2 linked regions of the Drosophila melanogaster genome follow. The protein of the gene in region 1 interacts with the protein of each later gene in a biochemical or structural test. Each region holds a gene or a part of one and is shown on either strand. Other genes may lie near its edges. The genes, in order: Pgant9 and Sgs3.

Region 1 (5,322 bases):
CGTACGATGGCCAAGGAACATAGCTTTCATTCAAAGTCATTTATCAAATTACACCTTAATAGTTTAACTTTTACCATAACATGCTTCGATTTGAATAATTAAACCAGAGCTTTTGATGTCGTTTCAAGTCTCTTAGATTATTTGTGAGCTTGTGCTTAATTCCCAGAGGGATCAAATTGCTTTGCAGGCAGTAGTCCTGTTTGTGCTGGAATTTTAATTGGTTGCAAAATCAATAATCAGCAATGCGGCATAAACTATTTATGTGTGTCAAACCAATTGCGAACCGACCTGCGGCCCACAAGTTAAATTCTCTAAACTAACACAAATACCAGCTAAGTACACACACTGACACACATGAAAACTTCCGCTCACTCACACCAATAAACGGAAACAAAACTTGAGTCAACAGTTATGGCAGGCAAATTGACTTGAGAACATTTTTTGCTGCAAAGTATGCAACGATTTTTCGGCACTCCATTTGTGTTTGTGTGTGTATGTGTGTGTTTTTCGGGTGTTTTCCGGGTTGCTTTCCAGTGAATTTGAGGGGCGAGTCCGGGGCTGCCTAACTAAGCCGAGTCAAAATCTAATTGGATTTGTGCTCACTCAATGAACTGCAAACGAAAAGTGTTTTATATGATTATTCGTCTGGGAGCCTCCGGGGACCCGAGAAATGAACATTTTTATTTCCATTTTGCACTTGCCATACTCCATTAAACCAAAGTGCAAGTGTTTGCAAAATATGCAAGAGAGGAGCTACAGTGGAAAAATAATCAGGTTATGAAAGTATGTAAACGGGATTAAAATTGCTTTGAAATAGGTTTTTAAATATAACTGCTAACTAACTAGTTTGTTAAGCGAAATATTATGCTTAAGTTTATTTGATTTTTGAATCTGTTTGTAATAAATATACATTTTTATGTACCCCCCAGTCCCAGTGTATTTATTAATATACACCTTTTTTTCGCTTTTGCTGTTCGCTTATTGAGCGCCCTTGTGAAGGCGACAAAATATTTGCCACGCGACATTTCCAGCAATTAGGCGTAAAAACACGTAGCCAAGAATGGCGAGCGGGAATACCAGGGCATACTGCGGAATCGTTGGGTTTATCATAGCGAAAATCAACGCCAGCTGAAGGCGGTAGTAAAAAAAAAAAAACAAAAAGGGAGCAGTGCAGTCTGTAATGAGACGGAAAGCGAGCGCCAATCGCTGCAATTAAAATTAATTACAGTATTTGTCAGCTTAGCCCGGCTAACTAAGTAACTGGCCACCAGTAAACCTGCAATCTGGCCAGGATCCATTCAAAACACGGTGTGGCGGAAGGGGAAATCGGGGTGTGGGAGAGCTGCTTTGATTGCAATCGCGATCGTTAATTAAATGTCGAAAGGAATGTTGTTGTTGCAGCTTGTGTTTGTGTTGCAGATGTTGCAGCGGCAGTTAATGCCGGTGCCTCCTGTGCGTAAAGATCAGCCAAAATGGATAAGGGCCAAGTTGCTGTTGCCGCTGGCTATTTATATCTGCAGCTCGCTGTTGCACGCAATGTAATGTACATATAACCAATGTTGCTGCCGCAGCAGTTGTTGTTGCATCTGCTGCTGCTGTTGTTGCTGCTGCTGCTGCCGTTGCTGCTGCGGGCATTATCGCCCTTGATCTTGGCTAAATCGAAATCGCCGGCGTTGCGTGAAGTGTTGCAAATGAGTTTTTGTCTGGGGCGTGCATTGCATTTTCAATTGGTCGGCAAATTGGCAGCGCCAACGAAAACAGCCATCAAATCAAAATCACAGGTGGCACAGCTGTATTGAAATTGGCATTTTCCAGCAATTTGGGCACCGAGCATCATTTTAAAAATGGGGACGGTTTCATCAATTGAAATAGCAGACCTAATTAACCTAAATAAGCGAAAAAAGTGAAAATTCTATAATAACAAACAATGCAAATATATAAATGAAATTTCATGAAATACTTCAACCTTAAATGGAATTTTTCGAACTTCCGTAAGCCTTGAAAATGTTGTTATATTGATACTATTTATTAGCTTTATGGTGAAAGTATTTAATATCAAGCTGTACATGATCACACTAGCTCATCCATTTGTTCGTCAATATTTGCAATGCGATGCATTGTATATGGCCAAATGCAGTTGTGCAAACAGAAACTTGAGCGCTATCAATATATGACAACAAGCAGTGAAAAACACGAGACTCGTTTTGAGGCCAAGAAAACTTTTTCGCTGTATAAGAAAAACTAATGAAAAATGCGGCGCAGAGGAAAAAGTTGATTGGTGTCGTCCTCCCATTCTCCCAAACGTTCCCACAAATATCCACCACCAATGCTGCCCCAAAACTTGGCCATGTTTCAATTGAAAGAGCCAAACAAAACCAATGAAAAGTCCATAACGAACGGCGGGCGGAAAATGCGGAAAATAGGGAGGGGAGGTGCCAAAGCGAAGCAATTGAAAAACAGCTTCCGTCGGTGTTGCAAATTGTCAATTTCGTGGTCCGTTCTTTACACATCACAATTGCTATGTAAAATGCAGTGAATGTTGGTAGCCAATCGCAAATAGATTCTGTCGCCAACTTCTAAAAAATTTCAATTAAATAAAGTTAATTAATATTAGTCATTATTAAATTTCCACAAAAATATGGTTACTTTCCTGCGGCTAAACCGCCCTCATCATTCCATCCCCACCCCCAGCAAAAGCAAAAACAAGGCAAACAACTTCAATATGCAAATGAGCCACGTGCAAGCCGATTTGAAGATGGCCAACGACAAGTGCAGTGGCCAACACGTTAGACTTGCAGTTCGAGTTGCAGTTGCCAGCCGGCTTAAGAGTCGCGAACGAGCTTGTTCGATGTTGCAACAGTGATGACCAGCGGAGCCCATTAAAAGCTAAAGAAAGTTAGTGCAACTAAAGGCTAGTATATCATATAATATGTATATGTATATATGTATGTATGTATATATAAAAATAATAATATATATACCATATAATAATAATATTAACCAATTTAACTAGAAGCCCACATTAAACACATCCGAGACATTCTGAATATATGCATTTATAAATTTATAAAGGTTAGTAGTAGTATTAGTTAGTTTTTAGTTTAGTTAACCTCGCTTCGTATTTTTGTTTTCTTTTTTTGGTTTGTTTGAATTTAAACAGATTTCTCAGCCATTCCATGGATGAAAAGCGAGGACCTTCTGGGAAACTCTTATCCCGTCTTTTGCGACATGACAGTCTCCGTCAGTCTCCTCCCCCGCGCCTAATAACCCATGAGGGTGGACCGCTCTTGCAATCCCATTTCAAATTCCATATCCATTCCATTTGGCGTATACGGGCTCATTTGTCATTCACAGGCTGAGAACAACAATGTCTGGGGCAACAACAAAGAGTCTTGCTGTGTGTCTCTGTGTGTGTGTCTGTGCTGGGCTTATCAGCGAGTGTTTATCAGAAGGAGCGAAGTGACCCACACAACAACCCCCCCACCCACTTGCAACTCGAACATCGAACCTGGGGCTGCGAACATGTTGCGAGCCACTGTTGCCGGCTAAAACTCCAATGGGAAATACTCAGTCGATTTTTGACCGTCAAATCAGCAGGTTGCGGTCGGTCCGTAAGTGCGAGTGGGAGAGCGCGCGTGCTAAGGTGAATTGTGAATCCGTTGCATTTCTCTTCCTCTTCCACTCCTCACACCTACGCAGAGGTGTGTGCGTGTGCGTGTCTGTCTGGCTGTGTGTGTGAAATAATGAAATAACGAAATAACAACAACAGCAACACAAATCACAGTCAGCTGTGAAGTTTCTTTGAATGTGTGAAATCATATATGCAAATGGCAAAAATAAGCAGAAATTACAAATTAATAGTGTGAAAAATTCATACACAAATTAAAGCATGCTAATCGAAATAGCTCAAAAAGCAACTGAGTAAAAATCAAAGCATACAAAAAAAAAACAGCCGCAGGGTATAATTTTTTGTGAAACTTGCCAACTGAATTGAAATTGGAACTTGGGAATTTTTGACAGCAGAATCAAGGAGCAAAGCGGAGAGCGAAAGGCGGGTAAGTTGTTTTTTTTTTTTTTTTAGAACTAACGGAGAAGAGCTTGTAAACACGCGACCCGGCAGCATGCCGTCCCTTTTCCACTCACCTTGCACCTGTCGTTTTGCCTTCGGTCCTCGCCCTCTCCCTTTTCCGCCCCCTGGCGCCATCTCTTTCCCGCCTGACAGCATATCAAACAAAACATTCATGTTTGCTGTGTTGTTTGTTTGTTTGTTGCCTTGGTGCTCGTGCACCGTTAGCTTGGGCCGACATTTTACAATGCTTCCCCGCTTCTTTCGCCACCTCTTCTTCTTGTTTCAGTTTTTGTTCTTGTTCTTGTTCTTGCTCTTGTCTTAGTGTTAGCATTGGTCCCCTGTAAACTCACTTCCTCATTTTCAACTTTTCAACGGGCTTTCGACTTTGTCTGCGGGCTAAAAACAAAAACAAAACGAAACATAAATATGCATTCCCTTTTGAGATAGTTGTACACATCGGAAAAAATTGCAAGGAAATAGAAAATTTTTCAAATAAAAATAATATATTTCATTAGGCAGCTCACGCGTCTTAAAAAACCTGACATGGAATAAATCTCATTTTTCATTTCTAAAACATATATGCATAATAACTATAGATGTCATATTCCTTAAACCGACAAATCTACATTTATTTTGTTTAGTATTTTGCAAATGCTTAAATTACCCAAAAGAAAACCTTCATATTCCTATAGTTATTTAAATGTATAACAATCGAAGTGGGAGTATAGTTTTTAGGGGACTAGATAAAATTGGCTTCGTCGTACTTGACGAGGGTTTAAAAAATTTGTGTGCGAAAGAAATGTGAGGTTTGTTGTTTGCAAATTACTTTTTATTGGGCATTTCCTTGACTTTGCCGACTCTCCCCGTTTTTTTTTTTTGCAGGCACTTGCAAAGAAAAATCAATAAATTTCATTTGATTTTTATAGTCGCCTTCTGCTCCGCTAGCAGCTGTGCCCGTGTTTGGCTTTTGTATATTTGTGTATTTCTGTGCGAGAAAAACCCTTGAATGGGTCCGCTTTGTTTTTGCCTCTGGCTTTGCCATGGCAGCACTTAAGCCACCTCTTCAACTCCCACTCTTTTAGCCTGGTTGGTGCTTGGCTGGCCTGTCTGGCTGCGTGCGTTTTGCCGGTTTTTGTTTTGGTTTTTGCTGGAAAAACTCTTTGGCCTAGAATCGCAGGCATAAAAGGCATGAAGCCAGAATTTCTTCCCCTTTTTGTTATTAATTATCAAAGACTGCTGGCTGTTAGCCGGAG
Region 2 (3,655 bases), on another chromosome or scaffold:
GTGGAAGCGGCCGTTGTTGTTGTTGTGGTTGATGCTGCAGTGGTGGTTGTTGTTGTGGTGGTGGCATCAGTTGTTGTTGTGTTACTAGCAGAGGAAGCCATCTGGATGGCCAGGGCAATAAGGGCAACCACGAAAAGGTATTTCATTTTGAAATTTGATGGAATTTACTAAGAAGTCCGCAGTGAAATAATCGAATTTGCTAGATGCTGTGTTCTGATTTTCTGGAGTTGCAATTAAGTCTTTTATAGTGGAATTTTCTTCTGTTTAGTTCCTCGTTTTGTGCTATCGAGTACATTTGCCAAATAATAATTCTCACAATGATTTCCTTCCTGCAGACAAAATAAGTCTCATGAACTATATTAAATATTTGCTATCAATAAACGCCGATCCATTGGGTTACCGACGACACTAAGACAGCTGTATAAAGGTTTATGATATTCATAGCAATGTACCAAATCAAACATGATAGGAAAAATAAGCCGAGATCACAAATAAAATTGATAAAAAATAGCTTAAGTATTTATGTTCGGATTAGATTTTTTGTTCTACTTTTATTATATTCATATTTGAACTTATAAGAGAATCGGATTATTTCGAGAAAGTCGTAGCAAATGCTTGCAATGCATTCTTAGAAGTTTTCCGTGAGTTTTGTTTTATAATCTGCCATTTTGAATTATCACTCAATTATATTGCTTTACATGTTGTTATTACTTTTTATTTATATTAAAATATAATTTTGATATACAATCGATTTTTTAAAAGCAATTGTCAATATAATTCTAGATGATTTGTGATTATAAACCTTTGGTTTTCGTTTATAATGCAAATCTAATTATAAGTATATAGTAGTACGTCTAATACATTTCGTACTAAACAATTAAAACCTTATCGTGAAATACTGAAGCAATAAAGAACCAAGAAAATGTTATTGCCTTTGAGTGGTTTGGAATTACATTTAGCTAGAGGTTGGTGTATCGGCTAACAAGTAAAGAAGGCTGTATGTAAATTCGTTGAATCAATGTCAAATTGCCTGTCAAAGTGCAAACGAAGACCCAAAATGTCTATCCTAATTCGAACCTAAAAATATATATTTTTTGAATATGCAATACTATAAGATAATTGAATAGTTTTATGGGGCTTATTTGTAAAGCTAAATTAAGCTAAATTTAACTGTCCTTATTTATATTATTATATTTACTCAGCCTATATTAAAGACCTATTATTTATAGAATTTAACGCAGTTTGTCTGCAAAACATCTCTACACCTTTTTCTACCCGTTACTCGTAGAGTAAAAGGGTATACTCGTTTCGCTGAGAAGTAACAGGCAGAATATAAAGCATATATATTCTTGATTAGGGTCAATAGCCGAGTCGATCTGGCCATGTCCGTCTGATTCTGTTTGCCACTCCCACATTTTTGAAAAATGTTTTATAATTTTTTCATATTTTTATTATCTAAATCTATCCCTTCCACACCTTAGAGCATTAAATTTAATTTCTTTCCCCCAATTTTTACCGATATTCGTGAAAAATGTTATACATTTTCCATTTCACTTGAACTAGCTAAGTAACGGGTATCTGTTAGTCTCGTTAGCGTTCTCTCTTGTTTTAAAATAAAGTCCAGGCGATCGAGTCGACCCAAAAGTATCAAACAAAGGGGAGAAGGCTTGTGTTTGCATAATCGAAATACTGACTCCATTTTTAGAATTGCAGTTTCAGTGAAAGCGTACCTATAAAAAGGTGAGGTATCCGCAAGAAAAGTATCAGTTTGTGGAGAATTAAGTAAAAAACATGAAGCTGACCATTGCTACCGCCCTAGGTAGGTTTCACCGAATGCTCTTGTTTTCGGTATTTGAGCCACTGATATATTCATCCGTTTGCCTTCTCCACAGCGAGCATCCTGCTTATTGGCTCCGCTAATGTTGCCAACTGTTGCGATTGTGGATGCCCCACAACTACAACTACTTGTGCGCCACGTACCACGCAACCTCCGTGCACAACTACGACAACAACAACCACAACTACTTGTGCGCCACCCACACAACAATCTACCACGCAACCTCCATGCACGACATCTAAGCCCACCACACCTAAGCAAACTACCACGCAACTTCCGTGCACAACACCCACCACCACTAAGGCCACCACCACGAAGCCCACCACCACTAAAGCCACCACCACTAAGGCCACCACCACTAAGCCCACCACCACTAAGCAAACTACCACGCAACTTCCGTGCACAACACCCACCACCACTAAGCAAACTACCACGCAACTTCCGTGCACAACACCCACCACCACTAAGCCCACCACCACGAAGCCCACCACCACGAAGCCCACCACCACTAAGCCCACCACCACGAAGCCCACCACCACCAAGCCCACCACCACGAAGCCCACCACCACTAAGCCCACCACCACGAAGCCCACCACCACTAAGCCCACCACCACGAAGCCCACCACCACGAAGCCCACCACCACTAAGCCCACCACCACGAAGCCCACCACCACTAAGCCCACCACCACGAAGCCCACCACCACTAAGCCCACCACCACGAAGCCCACCACCACTAAGCCCACCACCACGAAGCCCACCACCACGAAGCCCACCACCACTAAGCCCACCACACCTAAGCCGTGCGGTTGCAAGAGCTGCGGTCCTGGAGGAGAGCCATGCAATGGATGTGCTAAGAGGGATGCACTGTGCCAGGATCTTAACGGCGTACTCCGCAATCTGGAGCGCAAGATCCGTCAATGCGTCTGCGGTGAACCGCAATGGTTGCTGTGAAGCGTCGAAGGAGCGTCTAATCCACTCCCGTACTGATCGATGTGACTGCACCCCTGCGAAATATATTCTGTGGGGGAGCTCGGCCAGGACTTTGACTACGCTTTGTTTTTGTTATCATCAATTGATTTTACGTGTAAGAATTAATAAAATTAGTTAGACTGCATAAATTTTAAAAGCATTTATTATTATTTTACTTGTATTATTTATGACAAATTATTATTTATCTGTTGGGTTTTCGAAAATGTTGGTTCTAAATTAAGTTTGGCCATCATTTGATCGACTTTTTCGAATGTATCTGTTACTTTTACCAATGCGTTGGCTTTGGCTCCTAGTTCTATGCGAAGTCTTAACTATCCGAGCTCTTATGACTTGGTCAACTTGTCTCAGCTAACTACTGTTGGCTCGGGTTCGAACTTCGGTTTGGGCCCGACTCGAATCGGCGGCTTTTACGATCCGATCGCCACTCGAGTGCCGTTGCTTGTCGCTGGTGGACGCGTTTCGTTGGATATCAATTGAAATACCTACATATGTTGAACCGGCGGCGTTTTCTTCGACCCAACATAAGTGACAAATAAGTGCAACTAAAGACGTGAACATATTTACAGGATATAAAACAAACGTCCGCTATGTGCGATTTATAATTGGTGGGTGATGCCATATAAACAGCGGGAATCTACTATAATGGCTATAACTTTACCGAGTATCTGTGCGCTTGTGTGTGCGTGTGTGTGTGTGTGTACCTGATGTCGAGATAAATCTGCTTGCCTTCAAATTGTCAATTGCTGGCTTAATGGCTGGTGCAATCTCAAGAATCGGCTCTTTTGTTTTGGGCTCCTTGGCAGTGAGCAGTGAGTGCAATCGAATTGA

What was found.
Region 2: of the proteins of Pgant9 (region 1) and Sgs3, one has a biochemical effect on the other in vitro, tested with the Drosophila melanogaster proteins (one study listed by BioGRID).

The regions. Positions count from the first base shown.
Region 1 is NT_033778.4:16,729,632-16,734,953, reverse strand, and holds the start of Pgant9 (polypeptide N-Acetylgalactosaminyltransferase 9), read left to right. Parts: upstream 1-2,037; 5' UTR 2,038-4,055; intron 4,056-5,322. UniProt on the Drosophila melanogaster protein: Catalyzes the initial reaction in O-linked oligosaccharide biosynthesis, the transfer of an N-acetyl-D-galactosamine residue to a serine or threonine residue on the protein receptor.
Region 2 is NT_037436.4:11,510,444-11,514,098, forward strand, and holds Sgs3 (salivary gland secretion 3), read left to right. Parts: upstream 1-1,777; 5' UTR 1,778-1,791; coding exon 1,792-1,819; intron 1,820-1,892; coding exon 1,893-2,788; 3' UTR 2,789-2,959; downstream 2,960-3,655. Other genes in the region: CG33272 (uncharacterized protein), read right to left, coding at 1-146.